2 linked regions of the Mus musculus genome follow. The protein of the gene in region 1 interacts with the protein of each later gene in a biochemical or structural test. Links are inferred from orthologs where the notes say so. Each region holds a gene or a part of one and is shown on either strand. Other genes may lie near its edges. The genes, in order: Grwd1 and Rpl11.

Evidence for each region.
Region 2: the proteins of Grwd1 (region 1) and Rpl11 form a complex in vitro, tested with the Homo sapiens proteins (2 studies listed by BioGRID). The link is inferred for Mus musculus from reciprocal best matches to the Homo sapiens genes GRWD1 and RPL11.

What each region holds. Positions count from the first base shown.
Region 1 is NC_000073.6:45,827,876-45,832,460, forward strand, and holds the start of Grwd1 (glutamate-rich WD repeat-containing protein 1), read right to left. Parts: upstream 2,915-4,585; 5' UTR 2,907-2,914; coding exon 2,720-2,906; intron 2,535-2,719; coding exon 2,417-2,534; intron 2,270-2,416; coding exon 2,107-2,269; intron 119-2,106; coding exon 1-118. UniProt on the Homo sapiens protein: Histone binding-protein that regulates chromatin dynamics and minichromosome maintenance (MCM) loading at replication origins, possibly by promoting chromatin openness.
Region 2 is NC_000070.6:136,050,339-136,054,835, reverse strand, and holds the start of Rpl11 (60S ribosomal protein L11), read left to right. Parts: upstream 1-1,442; 5' UTR 1,443-1,482; coding exon 1,483-1,488; exon of another isoform or gene 1,489-1,851; coding exon of another isoform or gene 1,852-1,866; intron 1,867-2,118; coding exon 2,119-2,269; intron 2,270-3,115; coding exon 3,116-3,222; intron 3,223-3,533; coding exon 3,534-3,665; intron 3,666-4,445; coding exon 4,446-4,497.

The sequences.
Region 1 (4,585 bases):
AGATGGCCAGGGCCTGGGGGTCATCCACCACCTGCAGGAGCCGCCGCAGTGCGAACACCTCCACTTGGCCCTTCTCTGACCATACTCCAGCCACAGGTTCCTCCCCCAGCCAAGATACCTGCCAGAGGGGTACACAAAACAAAGAGGGGAGAGGCCTAAGGTTAGACAATAGACCCCCAAAACTATAACCTTGGCATGTCTACAGACAAATATAGTCCCCAGACAGCTTTGTAGGAGGAAACTACATGCTCCCAGACCAGCTGATGGCCAGGTCACCTCCTGGCTCTGGGAACAGAAACAGCAAAAGGATGAAGCTCAAGCTCCCAGTGGAGTTCTAGAAAACACTGCGGGTTCTACCGCTCTCACGTCCTTCCCCCTCTACAGTCACTCCAAGATCCTTAAACTGCCCTATTACCATAGACAACACATTCCTCTGACCATCTCCACGGTGGCTAGTTTTATGTCAACTTGACATAAACTAGAGTAATCTGAGAGAAGAGCTTCAATAGAGAAAAAGCCTCAGAGACATAGGGCTGCAGGCAGTAGGACGCTTTGTTAATTAGGAGGGCCCAGTCCATTGTGGGTGGTGCCAGCCTTGGGCAGGCGGTCCCAGATTCTATAAGAAAACAGCTTAGTTGGGCAGTGGTGGAACACAACTTTGGGAGGCAGAGGCAGGCAAATCTTTGCGTTCGAGGCCAGCCTGGTCTACAGAGCTAGGTCCAGGACAGCCAGAACATACAAAGAAACCCTGTCAAACAAAACAATATGAAAAAGACTGAAACAAGCAAGCTGAGTAAGCCATGACAAGCAGGCCAGTAAGCAGCACCCCTTCATGGCCTCTGCATCAGTCCCTGCCACCACATTCTTGCTGTTTCAGTTCCTGTCCTGACTTCCTTTGGTGATGAACAGTGATGTGGAGGTGTAAGCCAAACAAAGCCTTTCCTATCTAAGTTACTTTTGGTCACCGCATCTTATCACAGCGTTAGTAACCCTAACTAAGACATTCACCTTCAGTCTAAAACATTGAGACCCATGTTTGGCTGTCTCCTTCCTCACACCCATCTACGCTGCGCCTCTCAAAACTTTTCTAACCACCTGTACTGTGGCCACCCTTCCCGTGAGTTGTTCCTTATGTAATCAAACACTTTTGGCTCTCTGCAGTCAATTTTCCACACAGAAGCCAGCGGGAGCCTCTGAAAACAAGTACCAGACCAATCACTCCTCTACTTTACGTCCTCCACTTATTCCTAATTTCTCCTGAAGCAGAAACCAAGACTTACATTAGCCCACAAGGGCAAAGCAACCAGTCTTCCAGGCGCTCACCCTGCACATCTGTCACTGTCCCCGCTTAGTCTATTCTGCTCCACACACAGTCGCCTCTCCAGTTTCCCCTGAGATTCTGAATCATGTGTGCCAGGTGCACCCCAGGGTCTTGGCACTTTCGTTTTTCTTCTCTGCAAATCTGTTTCCACAAACACCCCAGCCCTGACACTTGCTGCAGGTCTCTAGTCCAAGAACACCGACTTACCCAGTCCTCCTCAAATTCACCATTTACAAAAAACAACTCTACCCTAGGAACACCCTTATACTACCACACTCAGCATCTTGTAACAAACTACAAGCTTTCTCTTGTTCCCTTTCCCACTAGTATGTTATGTTCATGGGCCCAGAGCTTTCTGTCTACAGGCTAAACCTTCTGGGAATAATGTAACAGATACAGGTCCAACAGAGACAGGTCCAGCTACGGGTTGGCTTTTGCTCTACATGCTCCTTGTATACCGTCTCCCTTTTTTGCTCATCTACCTGATCATAAAGTGCTCTATTTATTGAACTTGAGGTGAGCGCTCTACCACTAAGCTGCCTTTGAACTCATTCTATCCTGCCTCAGTTCCTAAGCAACAGCTCAGTAACACCCTTGCGTTTCACCACAATCAGGAGCTGTTTCAGCCTTTATTATCTGTTTATCAGCTCATAGAGTGAAAATGTCTGAAAATGAGGGGGGAGGGAGAGAAGCTGAGGGGCTGGAGGAGGTACTGAGAGACATTTGGATCTAGGGGGAGGGGTGTGCTGCAGAGAATCCTTAACAAGCCCCTGGAAAGACTGTACCCGAACTCGGTTGATGCCACCGTAGTGAGGAACCATGGCCAGTTCCAGCTGAGGTTTCTGCTCCTCCTCATCCTCTTCATCTTCATCTTCCTCATCGTCATCACTGCCCTCTGAGGGTGACGGCCTGGTGCCATGGAGATTGTGCATCCGAAGCATCATCAGTCTGGGGAAGCAAATACGGGTTAGAAACTGAGTGCCGGGATGTTGAAGGAGGAGGGAGGCTGGGGTCCCAGACTTTTAGGTCTGGCATTAGCAGAGAGCCCTAATGCGTGGGGCCTTGTGGATGTCTTGCAAAGGTCCTGGGTCTCACCTATTGCTCTGGGCGCTCTCCGCCTGGGTTCCCGCACACAGGTAAAGACTGAGAGGGAGCTCTGTCCGGTTGTCGCCCAAGTGATCTCGAACTATGTCAAAGCTGAGACAAGGGGCGCCTAGGGATGGGCGGGGAGATTAGAGTTGCTGAGTAGGAACGAGAGACTGGGAACTCGGCCTCCACCTCCTCCAAAGGCCGGCAGTCTGCAGGGTCACAATCCTCAGACTCCAGACCCTTCGTCCCCCAGACCCCAAGACAGGCCTTTCATTTCCCTGGACCCGAGAGTCAGGTCCCTCTGCCTACCAGTTTGCGCACGATGGTACAGCACGTAGGCCTCTTCATCCATTACCAGCTCCTCTCCCTCGCTCAGTGGCGGCCCTCTGCCGGGCAGGTAGACCTGGGATGGGCCTTCGGTTCCTGGGTCGCAGGTTTCAGCCTCCATGGGTTCTCCGGTTTCACACGTGCGACTCCGGCCCTTGCGCGCCGCCATCTTCGAACCTTCTTGCCCCGGACGCGAAGTGAGAGCGTCACTTCCGGGTTTCACCTCCCACAGTCTAAGACCCGTCCCACTGTACTGTTACCTTGGAAACCTGTGAACCAGCCAGAAGAAGGTAATGCGCAGAGAGATGGCCGCCACAAAGTAACCGCGTCCTGGCTCAGTGAGAAGACTTATATTAGGAGCAATTTTGTCTTTCGTGTGACCTTGGGGAATTCTTCCGCGCAGCAATGGCAAGACCTTCTGGGAGTTGTAGTTCTACAGAAGTCCTCGGCTTCAGAGCCCTCTCCATCTTCCACCTTTCATTCCCAGGGTTGTCTTTCCATTTAGTTAATTATTCATGTATGTAAACGAGCACTTACTGGCAAGGAGACTGGGCTTCTGTTCCCCGAGGACCTTTAAGGCCGATTTCTTCTCCTCTCCTTGTTATGATGGTTTTAAATTATTTCAAAATGCTTTAGGGTAGACAGGCTGGACATTATGTATAAGTTAGTGGATTGGATCTATCCTCCAGGGGCAGACCATTTCCCAACCAGGCATTCCCAGGGCAGCTCTGGTCAGCAGGCACTTAATCAGAAAGTCTCTCTTGAGGCTGCTGCTACAACTGAGTCAGCTCTCTTTATCTACCCATGTACACCCGAGTTTTGGTTAATTGGAGTAATGAAATATTGGAAACAGATCCTCACTGGTGAGATTAAGGAGATTCAAGGCGTGGGTTGGCCACTCTCCATTTGCATAAAATAACCCATCAAATCATTCTTGCCAGTAGCAAGGAGTAGGTCTCTAGATTTGGTCCTAATTTGTGCATCCCTTTTTGTATCTCTACTCTTGGGGGTGTTGTCTCTGCCCTGTCACCTCTCCACCCCTCTCCCCTGGACTCTTGCCGCTTCCTGGGGTTGACTGTGCTTTCCCCAATCTCCTGTTTTCTAGGACTGGGGACTGAACTCAGGGTGTTATGAATATTACAACACCCTGCCTCCGCTACACCACCAGCCCAGTTTCTGTTGTCTGACTGTCCTCCCTAAGGACTCAGTTCTCAGTTTCCATTTTTCTCCAGAGAAGTTGAAGGGACAGACACAGAACTCAGGCTTGGACTGAGGAGGCGTAAAAACATGGTTTTATTCCAAACACTGCAGTGTAGGAGCGGGAGAGGGGAGGAAAGGTCAGGTGTGGGCTCCCAGACCCTCCTCTCAGCCCAGCCTCAGACCCTGCTGAAATCTGGGAAAGGAGACCTGGGGGTGGAGTGTCTGCTGGATTATCACTGAAGGGTCACAAATAAGGGCTGGACTTGAAGATGTGATTGGTGGCATCTGGGGTGGTAGGTGAGTGGGGGGAGACAGGTAAAGGTAGGACTTTCGTGGAGGAGAGGTCATAGGTCAGAGCCAACAAGGATCTAAAAGGGAGGGGTCATTGAGGTCTGACATGAAGGGTCACAGTCTGGTCGGGGCACAGTCTGGGGTCAGATGATCATTTTAGGTGTTGGAAGTCACAGTCTGGGGTCAGGGGTTTCTGTGTGGCGGGGCCAAGGTCTGGAGTCACAGTTTGGCATACGCGTCTCACAGTTTTGAGTCCTGATGAATGAAAGGTTAAAAACAGGCTCCCCTAGAGGTGTGTCTGGGGCTAGGGAGCTGCACAGTGATGTGAGGGCCATGGCCCGGAGCGTAGGGGTGGGG
Region 2 (4,497 bases), on another chromosome or scaffold:
ACTCAAGGAAGGCCAGCATCTGCCTGGGATGTGGATCTTGGTGGTCCTCATCCTTGAGTTCAGCTTCTGAGGATTCAATGTAACCCTGGAAGGGGGCGTGTCCTATAGTCTGTAACTGATGATCTCTTCTCAGAAGCATCTGTAAGCCATTGTCAGATCTCTCTCTCTCTCTCTCTCTCTCTCTCTCTCTCTCTCTCACCTCTGATGTCCTTTTTCTTTTTAGCTACCATGTCTAATACTTCTTTTGGAAGGTGGGTGTTGCTTGGATGTTGTAGGCTTGACTTAATTATAAAAGTAACAACTTACATACTTCACTGAATTACACAGTAACCCATGACACAGAAGTAGCTGTTTTACACAAGGGGAAAACAGACAGAAGTAATTTTAATTAGTAACTAGCTAGTTGGATCAAACCCACACCTGCCTGTATTCACAGCTCAGGACTCTTATTTTCAAAATTTACTTTTTATTTATTAGTTTATCTGTATTTAAGTTTTTCCTGCACATATGTCCTTGTAAGTGTGTGCCTGGGGTCCTCAGAAGGAAGACAAGGGCATCAGACTGGAACAGCTGATTTAAGCCACTACTCTGATTTGTATACTTGTTAACATAGTTACAAAGTAAAGGGTCTAGAATCTGTATGGTTTCTTTTTATCTTCGCACTTATTTTATGTATGAGTACTCTATCTGCATGTACACCTGCATACCAGAAGAGGGCATCAGATCCCATTACAGATGTCTGTGAGCTACCATGTGGTTGTTGATAATTGAACTCAGGACCTTGGGAAGAGCTGTCAAGTGCTCTTAACTACTGCGCTGTCTCTCCAGCCTCAGCTGATTTTTTTGTTTTTGTTTTTGTTTTTGTTTTTCGAGACAGGGTTTCTCAGTCTAACCTTGGCTGTCCTGGAACTCACTCTGTAGACCAGAATTCAGAAATCCACCTGCCTCTGCCTCCCAAGTGCTGGGATTGAAGGCGTGCGCCACCACTGCCTGGCGTCTCAGCTTATTTATTTATAAAAATTATTTTATTTATATGGGTGTTTTGCCTGTATGCACACATGGCCTGATGCCTGTAGATGCCAGAAGAGGGATCTGTCTCCCTGGAACTGGAGGCACAACCAGTTTTGAAATACCGTGTTCATGCCGGGAATTTTGTTCTTAACTGTAAAGCCTTCTCTCTAGCCCTTTGCTCAACTGATTTAATGGACTTTGGGCAGTGACATCACTCAAGAACCACCAGGTTCTGAGACTGTTCTTGGAGTCATGGACTCAAGAACATACCAGCATCGGACAACCCACGACCTAGTCTTTTGCCCAAGATGACTGCAGTTTCGAGGACAGTCCACTAGAGGTGGCAGCGCCACGACAGCTATGCCTCTCTTTCCCCCTCTCCCCTCGTTTGTCTGCCTAGAAGAAAAGCCCGCCTCCTGACCCATAAGGCCACGGGGCCGGAAGTCTCCCTCTCTCTTCCTGTTCTCCACCATGGCGGTGAGTAGGCGAGAGTTGGCTTTGCCTCGCTTTCATCCGTCTCCATCCGCAGTCGGCGGAGCCCAGGGCGGCTGTCTCGCGGGTGGCCGGAGGAGGACGGAGCCCGCGAGGCTGTTGGCATTAAGCCCGGCGGGACTGGGCGGCCGTGGGGCACCCCCGCCGCATCGCCGCCCATCCTAAGAATGGGGCTCAGGTCTGCAGCCCCGAGGGCCCAGACGCAGTGTCTGGGGGCTGCCGGAAGTGCGAGCGCGACGTGCGGAGGTCCACGGCGGGGCCAAGGGGACACTTGCAGCTTGTGTGGTGCTGGGGAGTTTCTGCGAGTCCTACTCGCAGGACCCGTGCTAGCTTGGGAAGGGGGACGGCATGGCGCAGAGGCCGGTACTTCCTGTAGTTTTGATTAGGGTTACATTGTATACTTTCTACGATCTCTAGTGTCTGTTCCCTACTCGTGGATCCGCTTGGGATTCAGGCTCTCTCTCTGTGTTCGTTCTCTTCCAAACGCGGAGACCTTGGTGGTCCCGAGGGCTTAGGCGGGATCCGGGACGATAGAAGTCAGAGCGGAGAAGACCTTGGCTGTTTCTCGTCTCTGACGGGGCGGGAGGGTGTTGATGGCTGTGTCCCTCTTCGCAGCAAGATCAAGGGGAAAAGGAGAACCCCATGCGGGAACTGCGCATCCGCAAGCTCTGCCTCAATATCTGCGTCGGGGAGAGCGGAGACAGACTGACCCGGGCAGCCAAGGTGTTGGAGCAGCTCACAGGCCAGACCCCGGTGTTCTCCAAAGGTGAGTGGCGGTGGGCTGACCAGAGAGGAGTGGATCTGGAAAGCTTGCTTCATCTGACCGGAGCACGGGTGCAAATGGACTTATAACGTGAGCTGTCGTGGGCCTGGTTGACAGCTAAGAACAGGGTTAATACCGTACACTGTTGGCATGAGGTCCTATCCATGCTTTTATTTGTATTTGTGTGTGTGTGCATGGGTACTCTGTTTGCATGCATGCCCACATGACAGAAGAGGGAATCAGATCCCGTTTCTGTTGGTTGTGAACAACCGTGTAGGTCCTCAGAACCTGTTAAACCTCTGAGCCATCTTTCCAACACCCCCCCACCAGTGCTTCTTAACTTCTGGCTCTGCCTCAACTCACTTAAAATGAATTGTGATTCCCTTGTTTGGCCACATGACAGGAGTTACCTTGCTAGAAACATGGAGTCTGTTGCTAGTGTGGTTGTGGGTGGTCTGTGATTGGGTTTGGATACTGTTTCTTAGGACCACAGTCAGCATTTTGAAAACACTGGCTTTTGTCAGTTTTAGTCTCCCAATTAGAGCATAATCATTGGTTGGGCCTGATAGCCCACAACTGTAACCCCATTACCCAGGCTGAAGCAGGAGGATTGCTGCCAGTTCAAGGCCAGCCTGGGCTACATTTGAGATTTTTCTCTCTCAAGGAATGTAACAGTCTTGCTAACCTGTGTCTGTTACTATGGCCATGCTGTTTGAGGTTCTTAGTATGGCTGGGTAAATTAGAGATGGAAAGCTCTGTTTTCTGTGTTGTGGACGATGTTGACTGACACGCTAGATGCCGTGCAATGGAAATAAGACATTACCTGCCTCTTGTGTCCCCGTCCTGCAGCTAGATACACTGTCAGGTCCTTTGGCATCCGGAGAAATGAGAAGATTGCTGTTCACTGCACAGTCCGCGGAGCCAAGGCAGAGGAAATTCTGGAGAAAGGCCTGAAGGTGAGGCTGGTGGGGTGGAGGCTGCTGCATTGTCAGAGATGGGCTATATATACACACATACAGTGCCTTGGCGTTTCAGAGATGACTGTTCCTGGATTTCTGTCCTTGGGATTTTCTCTGCTCTTTGGAAGTGGGGATCGTTTGATGGCATTTGTAGCTGGGGCATGACTTGGTTAGGGGAGGGATACCTGTGCTCCTAGCTAGGACTCACAGAGTTTTGGTTTTGCTCTGGGCCTACTGGGTGTTGATCTGAGCTCATGTTGGGCTACTTGAACATGATGGATAGCATGGTCACTTCTGTGTCCATTCAGGTGCGGGAGTATGAGTTGCGGAAAAATAACTTCTCGGATACTGGAAACTTTGGTTTTGGAATTCAAGAACACATTGACCTGGGCATCAAATACGACCCAAGCATTGGGATCTACGGCCTGGACTTCTATGTGGTATGTGGACTTCTCAGTCCCAAGCTGCCTGTGGGGAGAGGTGGCTCCTCTGTCGACGTCCACACATGCTGTCCTGCTGTTGGGATGGGGAGCTGGGTTGAAGTCTCGTGTCTTGTCTGCCTGTGTGTCCCCCTCAGAAAAGGGCCTTGTAGCAAGTGTAGAGGTTCCGGGGTTTATTCCCTGCCGTTGCAAAGCTCTCTGGGTCATCCTGGGCTGCATTTGCCCTTCGAATTTGCTTCCCTGTCTCCACTCATCTCCTTAGCCTGGGGCACAGGAGTTCTGTGAGGAAGTCATGGAAATGTGGGGGGTGCAGACTGCTCAAATGGGGATTGTCATGTGGGAATGGCCGTTATCATAGTGGAAAGCGCTTTGGGGGGGTATGCTGCTTTTGGCGACTTAAATTTTTCCACATTGCACATGTAAGTTTTTGTTTTGAGGCAGGGTCTTTGATTTACAGCCTAAGCTGGCCTTGAACTCCCTGCATGTATATCTGCACCATGTGTGTGCCTGGTGCCTGTGGAGGCCAGAAGAGAGAGGACAAGGGAATCACATACTGGAATTGGGACTGGAGTTACAAGGATAGAGACCAGTTGAGGAGGAAGCCTGCGGGGCATGTGTGTGTACTGCCTGGTGTGTTGTCTGGGTAGCTAATGACAGTTCTGTCCAGCTGAGGTACTAGTCTTGATGACTTGAAGGTCAGTCTGTAAAGTGTGAGTCTTGTCTGTTCACTGTTGAGCCAACTCTGAGCTGGCTGGGTGACTGTTGGTTATTCTGGCACAGGTGCTGGGTAGGCCAGGGTTCAGCATCGCAGACAAGAAGCGCAGAACAGGCT